Linked DNA regions of Callithrix jacchus. The main gene of each other region encodes a partner of the protein of the gene in region 2 in a complex. Links are inferred from orthologs where the notes say so. Each region holds a gene or a part of one and is shown on either strand. Other genes may lie near its edges. The genes, in order: PDLIM5 and AAK1.

What was found.
Region 1: the proteins of AAK1 (region 2) and PDLIM5 are in contact, whole or in part, in a crystal structure (PDB 9F6S), measured with the Homo sapiens proteins. The link is inferred for Callithrix jacchus from reciprocal best matches to the Homo sapiens genes AAK1 and PDLIM5. Residues at the interface, in NP_055726.4 of Homo sapiens: Asp956, Leu958, Ile959, Asp960, Leu961; in NP_006448.5 of Homo sapiens: Ala12, Pro13, Trp14, Gly15, Phe16, Arg17, Leu18, Phe24, Gln67, Ile70, Lys71.

The regions. Positions count from the first base shown.
Region 1 is NC_133504.1:102,894,760-102,898,583, forward strand, and holds part of PDLIM5 (PDZ and LIM domain protein 5), read right to left. Parts: intron 3,324-3,824; coding exon 3,203-3,323; intron 1-3,202. UniProt on the Homo sapiens protein: May play an important role in the heart development by scaffolding PKC to the Z-disk region. May play a role in the regulation of cardiomyocyte expansion. Isoforms lacking the LIM domains may negatively modulate the scaffolding activity of isoform 1.
Region 2 is NC_133515.1:44,373,435-44,377,258, reverse strand, and holds part of AAK1 (AP2-associated protein kinase 1), read right to left. Parts: coding exon 3,722-3,824; intron 3,057-3,721; exon of another isoform or gene 2,928-3,056; intron 2,126-2,927; coding exon 1,836-2,125; intron 1-1,835.

The DNA.
Region 1 (3,824 bases), on a different chromosome or scaffold from region 2:
CCCTTTGGCCTTTGACATTGTCAGTCCAACCTCAGCTGAAGAGGAAAGCAGGCTATAATTTGCAATGCAATTCACCTTTCTTAGCAACCGTCAATCTTTAGTATTCCTTCGCACCATTTGCTCAGCATAGATCCATGCAGTCTACTGTGTGCCAGGCATTGTTCAAGGCACCACAGAAGTACAGTGATGAAGAAGACAGTTGAGGTTGCTTTCCTCATGGGGCTTATATTCTCATTGGAAAGAGGATGTCATGATTTATTGAATTTAAGAAATAAGTAATTTCAGATTATCATAAGTACTATGAAAAAAAGAAAACAGTAATTTAATACAAAATAATTGGGGGGGCACTACGCTATTTAGGAAAATTAGAAAAGACCTCTCTGAAGATGTAACAGTTGTAACGAAAAGTGAAGAATAAAGAGAAATTGCCACAGAAAAGCTGATGAGGAACATTACAGTTAGAAGAAACAGTAAGCACAAAAGCCCCGAGGAAGGAAGGATCTCAGCATGTTCAGAAAACGCCAAGGGGCTGGGTATGGGTAGAATCTGGTGACAGAAGTCAAGGTGGGAGTAGATGAGGATGGCAAAACAGGCCCTAGTAAGAAGTGTAATTTGATGGGGCATGGTAGCTTACACCTGTAATCCTAGCACTTTGGGAGGCCAAGGCAGACGGATCAGGAGTTCTACCTGGCCAACATGGTGAAACCTTGTCTCTACTAAAAAGACAAAAATATTAGCTGGGCCTGCTGGCAGGCACCCGTACGTAATCCCAACTACTCGGAAGGTGAGGCAGGAGAATTGTCTGAACCCGGGAGGTGGAGGTTGCAGGGAGCCAAGATCAGGCCACTGCACATCAGCCTGGTGACAGAGTGAGATTCTATCTCAAAAAACAAAAAAAATAAAAAATAAAAATAAAGAAAAGTGTAATGTTTAGGCCGGGTGCGGTGGCTCATGCCTATAATTGCAGCACTTTGGGAGGCCGAGGTGGGTGGATCACGAGGTCAAGAGATCCAGACCATCCTAGTCAACAAGGTGAAACCCCGTCTCTACTAAAAATATAAAAATTAGCTGGGCATGGTGGTGCACGCCTGTAGTCCCAGCTACTCGGGAGGCGGAGGCAGGAGAATTGCTTGAACCCAGAAGGCGGAGGTTGCCGTGAGCTGAGATCGTGCCATTGCACTCCAGTCTGGGTAACAAGCCCGAAACTCCGTCTCAAAAAGAAAAAAGAAAGAAAAAGAAAAGTGTAATTTTTTTCTAGTGGAAGCCACTAAGGGGTTTATTCACATTTTAAAAAAATATTACTACAGCTGCTCTGTGCCTGCTATTTGGAGGCTGGAAGGAATGGGAGGGGCGATACCATTTAGGTGCTAATTACAATGACCAGACAAAGGGTGAAAGCAAGTTAGATTGAGTGACAGTTAAGATGGAGAGAAATAAATGACTGTGATATACAATGGAGGTAGAACTGCCAGGATTTACTATTTAGATAGGATAAGGACAGAACAAGGGAAAAAGCAGAATCCAACATGGTCTGAATGTTCTTGGCTAGTGGACGGTAAGATTATTTATTGAGATGAAGAAGACTGGGTTCAGAAATGGTTTGGGGGTTAAAAGAAAAAAAAAACAAAAACAGACCAAGTTGATTAGATGTGACATTTAAATAAATATTCAATAACATTTTTCCTCTTCTATAAGCAATTATTTGTTTTTTAAAATATGACTTCAAATACATTAAATATGGTATTAAGGCTACATAGTTTTATGTGTTTTGGCTAGATAGGGGCTACCTGCCAGTTAGTCAAAATGTTTTCCAAAGCTGCTAAAACAAACAAATCAAAATAAAACAAAACATACAAAAAAACCCCAGTTCTTTCTTCAGAAAAATTAAGTAGAATTACAAAATATAAAGTATTCTTATTGAATCGAGGAAGGCAGCTTGTGGCCAACTTGTCCCATAACAGCCCATGGGGTATTTCACTGGAATTTCTGGGGTTCCCGGGAGACAGTCTAGAATATACCCAGGTTGGTTCAAACTAAGGAGCTGAAAGGAAGATGAAAATAAGAGAATATTGAGTGGGCAAAGAAGGGCTAAATAATGATGATACAGCTTCAATTCAGAAGCTGACTGCTCCTTTAACTCCACTATTCTGGAATATCTCATTCTTCTAGCACAGCACTTTGATTTCAAGGTAGAATAAAACTCAGTAGTGAGAATGTGATGGTAGTGAGTGAAGGCATGATAAGGGAAAAATGTTTTATATTTTGAAATGTGTATGTGATAGTAATATCTAAGGGTTATATTAATAAATAAATCTTATGAAAGTTCATGTACAGACTTTGGGAAGGAAAAGGAAAAGTTCTGAGTTTATGTGATATGACAAATGTAGTAGATAGGTCCTTATAGTCTAGTTTATTAAAAACCATTTTACCATGGGAACAATCCAAGTCAGGATTACTTTCTCATTCAGTAAAAGTATCAAAGGATTTCAAATTTATTTTCAAGGCAGTTGCCTTAAAGTGCAAATCAATATCATATTCTAAAGTGGAATATTTCTGATGTTTACAACAACTCAAAATTCACTACTGGACTATAAGAAGTAGCCTTAAGGTACAAGATTTGGTTGAATTTATATCCATAAATTATTGGGAATTCAAGCAAAATATTTTTCCTACTAAATAATGCTTACATTCTCAATTATTATAATAAAGTTGGGAATATCTGTTTTGACAAAGTCACATTAAAAATTCTACATAAGGCCAGGCACGGTGGGTCATGCCTGTAATCCTGGGACTTTGGGAGGCTGAGGCAGGTGGATCACCTGAGGTCAGGAGTTTGAGACCAGCCTGGCCAACATGATGAAACCCTGTCTCTACAAAATTAGTTGGGCATGGTGGCGCATGCCTGTAATCCCAGCTACTTGGGAGGTTGAGGCAGAAGAATTGTTTGAACCTGGAAGGCAGAGGCTGCAGTGAGCCAAGATTGCACCATTGCACTCCAGCCTGGGCAACACAAGTGAGACTCCATCTCAAAAGAAAAAAAATCTACATAGTTGTTTTTCTGTATGTTTAGAGTAACATTAAATTCTCCCAAATTAATTAAGAAAATGACTTTGCCTAACAGTTTTTTGACTTTATAGTTTTATATGGGTTAATGTTTTACCTTTATTCAAAATTCAAGAAACAAATGGCTCCCTGATCTTACCAGTCTCACAGTAGGGTTCACCATCCTCCAAGTGAAAAACATTGTTCCGAATGGGCTTTCCACAGGCTACACACACAAAACAGGAAACATGCCAAGTTTGTTTCAACGCATTGATGACTTCCTGTTACAGAAAGGTAATTGGATGTTAAAAAAGAAGACAATAAATACATAAATGTTTATTCTAATATCTGTACCAGTAAATCCCTGTAAAGCTAATCCAAAGTAGGCACACATACTTCATTTTTGTCTTGAACTTTCCCTCGAAGTAACAGGATACATAAGAACAGACTCACAAATCATCTAAACTGATGCATGTTTAGATGCGTGTTCTTCACAAATGCCAATCAATAAACTTAAATAATAATCACTGTTATACATTATAATCACAGTGAATAAAGTAAGCATATTTCATAAGTGCTTACTACAAAACTTTCTGCTTCCTCTCAAAGGGTGCCAGGAAACATTAACTTACAAAGGTTTTATGGTATTATCTGCAAAAGTTCTGAAGGAAAGAGGAAGCATTTAAAAATTAAAACAAACCTATACTTTGGTGCATTCTAGAAGCAATAATATAATCGGTGTAATCCAATCAGTTTAACAAGTTAAACGTTTAGGCTTTCAT
Region 2 (3,824 bases):
GAATAGAGCAGGTCAAAACTCCTGTGCTGATCAGTAGTGGGATCCTGCCTGTGAATAGTCACTGCACTCCAGCCTGGGGAACACAGCAAGGCCCCATCCCAGTTGAGTCTGTCAAGTAGCTAGGACTATAAGCATGTGCCACTATGCCTGGCTAATTTTTATTGGTAGAGATAGGGGGTCTCATTATTTTGCCCAGGCTAGTCTCAAACTCCTGGCTTCAAGCCATCCTCCCACCTCAGCCTCCCAGAACACTGGAATTACACACATTAGCCAATGAGGTTGGCATACAAAAAGAGCAATGTATTCAAATATATCAAATATGTTAAAATCTAAGAATTCCTAAAGATACTAAACTCAACAAAACAAAAACCTCACTGTTCACCTTTGGATGCTAAGATGGAACAAATTTATTACTCTGAAAACTAGTAAACAAAAGGAAAGGATCAAGAGTTTCTCCTGCCTTTTCTGTATAAACAATACCTCAGGGTAACTAAAGAGTTGATGAAAAAATTTCTTCATGGAAAACTTCCAGCCCCCAAATGAAGAGGGTTAGAATATCATTGTACCATTCTTGATGAATTAAGGAACCTGGGAAATTATCAGCTATGGCTGCTAAGCTAATGGGGAATGTTAAACAAACGGATCAGACAGACAATAGCTCAACACACTGATTGATCTTTTTCTTTTTCCTTTTTTAAATGTTTTTGGAAAACACGGTCTTCAGGGAGATCTGAAAATACATGCTCCCTGATCTTAATATTAATGAAATAGAGGCGGACGAGGCATTATAGACCTTCTGACACCATGCAACAGGAAGAACAAAGAACAGCTGTCAGATTGAATCGAATACTGAGTAAGCCTCAAGAAATTACCAGTGTACATGGAAGATGGTCAAACACCTCAAATGACACCACAGCATGCAATCAGCTAAACCCAGAATGCAAAAAATTCCATGAGACAAATAATCCAGTTTCTCTGAAAAATTAAATGACAAAAACGAAAAAAAAAAGGGGAGAGGGAACCTATGGATAAAAAGGGACTTAAAAGATATATCAGCCAACCGCATTGGCTAATGTGTGTAATTCCAGTGTTCTGGGAGGCTGAGGTGGGAGGATGGCTTGAGGCCAGGAGTTTGAGACTAGCCTGGGCAAAATAATGAGACCCCCTATCTCTACCAATAAAAATTAGCCAGGCATAGTGGCACATGCTTATAGTCCTAGCTACTTGACGGACTCAGCTGGGATGATCACTTGAGCCCAGGAATTGGAGGTTGCAGTGAGCTATAACCACACCACTTCACTTCAGCCTGGGAAACAGAGCAAGACCCTATCTCCAAAAAAAAAAAAAAGATATACTAAACATTATAAAATGAATACGTTCATAGTAAAAAATGTGAAAAAATATACGAAAAGATAATGGAAAACAATATAGACCAACTTAATACAATCTGTTCTTATTGGATACTGATTCAACCAAGCTAACTTAATTATGAGACATCAGAAACAAACACTCATGCATATTTGATAATAAGAAACTATTGTTACTTTTTCCTCTATTATGATAATGGTGCTACAGTTATATTAGAAAAAAAAAGCAGTCTTTAAAAAATAGCTCTTGTACTGATGTTCCTCAATCAGGTGACAGATTCCTCATGGCCTGAGAAAAAGGATGAAGGGGTGTATGATGGATCCGCTTCTCAATGCTTTAGTATCTACATCTATGAGAAATGGTGAAGTAATGTTTCATGGCTCTCTGGGAAGATGCCTTTACCCAGTGGGCCTTGTCATAGTCATGACTCAGATATGCAAGCAAGGGCCACACTCTGACCACCTTACCTGCTGAGTCTGGGCCTGCTGCTGCTGCTGGTAAAATGTGCCCGCCGGCTGCTGCTGTGGTGGCGGTGGCTGTTGCTGCTGCTGTTGCTGCTTGAGGAAGAGTTGCTGCTGGTGCTGGGGTGTGGCCTGGGCCTGAGTGGGCAGACTCTGGGCCTGAGTGGAAGGCGTCTGCTGTGGAGTGGGAGGAGCCTGTGGCTGCTTGGCCTGAGATTGTGGCAGAGGCTGGCTGGGTGGGGCTTGGGGTTTTGGTTGGGGAACACTGGCTAAAAGGCCAGGCTGATTGCTGGATCCTGCAAAGAGAATAAACTCCACGTAAGGGCTCCAAACTCTTCCAGACAAAAGGGGCTTTCTGTGTTGCCAAAACAGTTAATAGGGGGTGACAAATGGGCAGATTATCCCAAGATACGTGTGCTCCTCACTGTCTTTCCACATGCTCTGTCCCACGTGGACTGTCTTTCTATCTTCTTGCTATATTATGTATTTCAAATTTTTTAAAACAAGGTTCAATATTGCCTCCTTAAGAAAGTATTCCTTTATTAATCACCCCATTTGGTCAATTACAACTTAAGTTGGCACCCTAAGTGTCCACATAGTCAACTGGCCTTTGGTACACATACCTAAGTTTTGCCCCTCTTGGCATGCAGCATGACAAAATCATTCCCTGGTGATTTACATGTAGCTTATCCCAGTCTGGATGCTTGACTATAAGTAGATGGCCACCACATTCAGCAAAAGCAGCTTCCTGGGAGGTTTCAGTTACTTGATATTTTGGATCAATCCTTCTTATGAAACAAAACTCATTCATCCCATTAGAAACAGAATACCAAAACATGAAGGTGTGGTAGATACTTCAAGGGCAAAGCATTAAGGAAACAATATTCCTCTGCGAATGTCAAAAGAGATGAGTCTTGTTTTTATTTTTTTGGGGGGGCATGTATGAAAATAAATCAGTTTCTTTGTATCTCAGCTAATCAGACTCCAAACTTCCTAAAATTGAATGTAACCTGTTTGCTAGTCCAAGCCCGTCAGCCTCTTCAGTTCTGTCTCTTCTAGGCATCTTTAATTGTTGATTTATTAGACCCAAGCAGGCATTTTTGTAGGCTAGGAGGCAAATGAATAGAATCATGCTTTCTACCCAATCATCTCCCTTGGCCCATTTCAATGTCCCAAAGTTTAATTAACAGAACAGGGAAGATACTCTGGACTGAAAACACTTTGGAAGAGTCTTGTTTCTTTACAGGCAAAGGGAAATATATGAAATAAAGTGGTAGGATAAGGTTCTAAAACCCAAAAATCAGGGCCAGGTCTAGAAAAAGATAGAGACAAGGGGCTTTAGTGGTCTTGGAGATCCATCCCAGAATTAAAGGAGGTTCCCCCTTTTGTCAGTCTTATGCCATACAATTTCTTTCTTTCTTTTTTTTTTTAAATGGGGTTTCTCTCTTATCACCCAGGCTCGAGTGCAAAGACATGGTCTCGGCTCACTGTAACCTCTGCCTCCCAGGTTCAAGCAATTCTCCTGGCTCAGCCTCCCCAATAGCTGAGATTATAGGTGCACGTCACCATGCCTGGCTAATTTTTTGTATTATTATTATTATTTTTTTAGTAGAGATGGATTATCATCATGTTGGCCAAGCTGGTCTTGAAATTAACACCTGACCTCAGGTGATTCACCTGCCTCAGCCTCCCAAAATGCTGGGATTACAGGCGTGAGCCACCATGCCTGGCCATTGCCGTACAATTTCAATGGCAGCTTCTTCCTGTTCCTCAAGGAACACTCTATGTGCCTCTAGATTCCAATCCTAAAGCAAACCAGGCTTTCCAAGATTTCCCTGTTGTCCTGAATAACAAAAAGGTGTACTGAGCTTCAAAGCAATCTAGATACTAACCTGCAGCTTGAGGTGGGGGCTGAACAGTGGCCCTCTTCCGGGGTGTCAGGGCCGGCTGGATGGGAAGGATTCCTGGGTTCGGCTGAGTCTGCCCAGCTTTAGG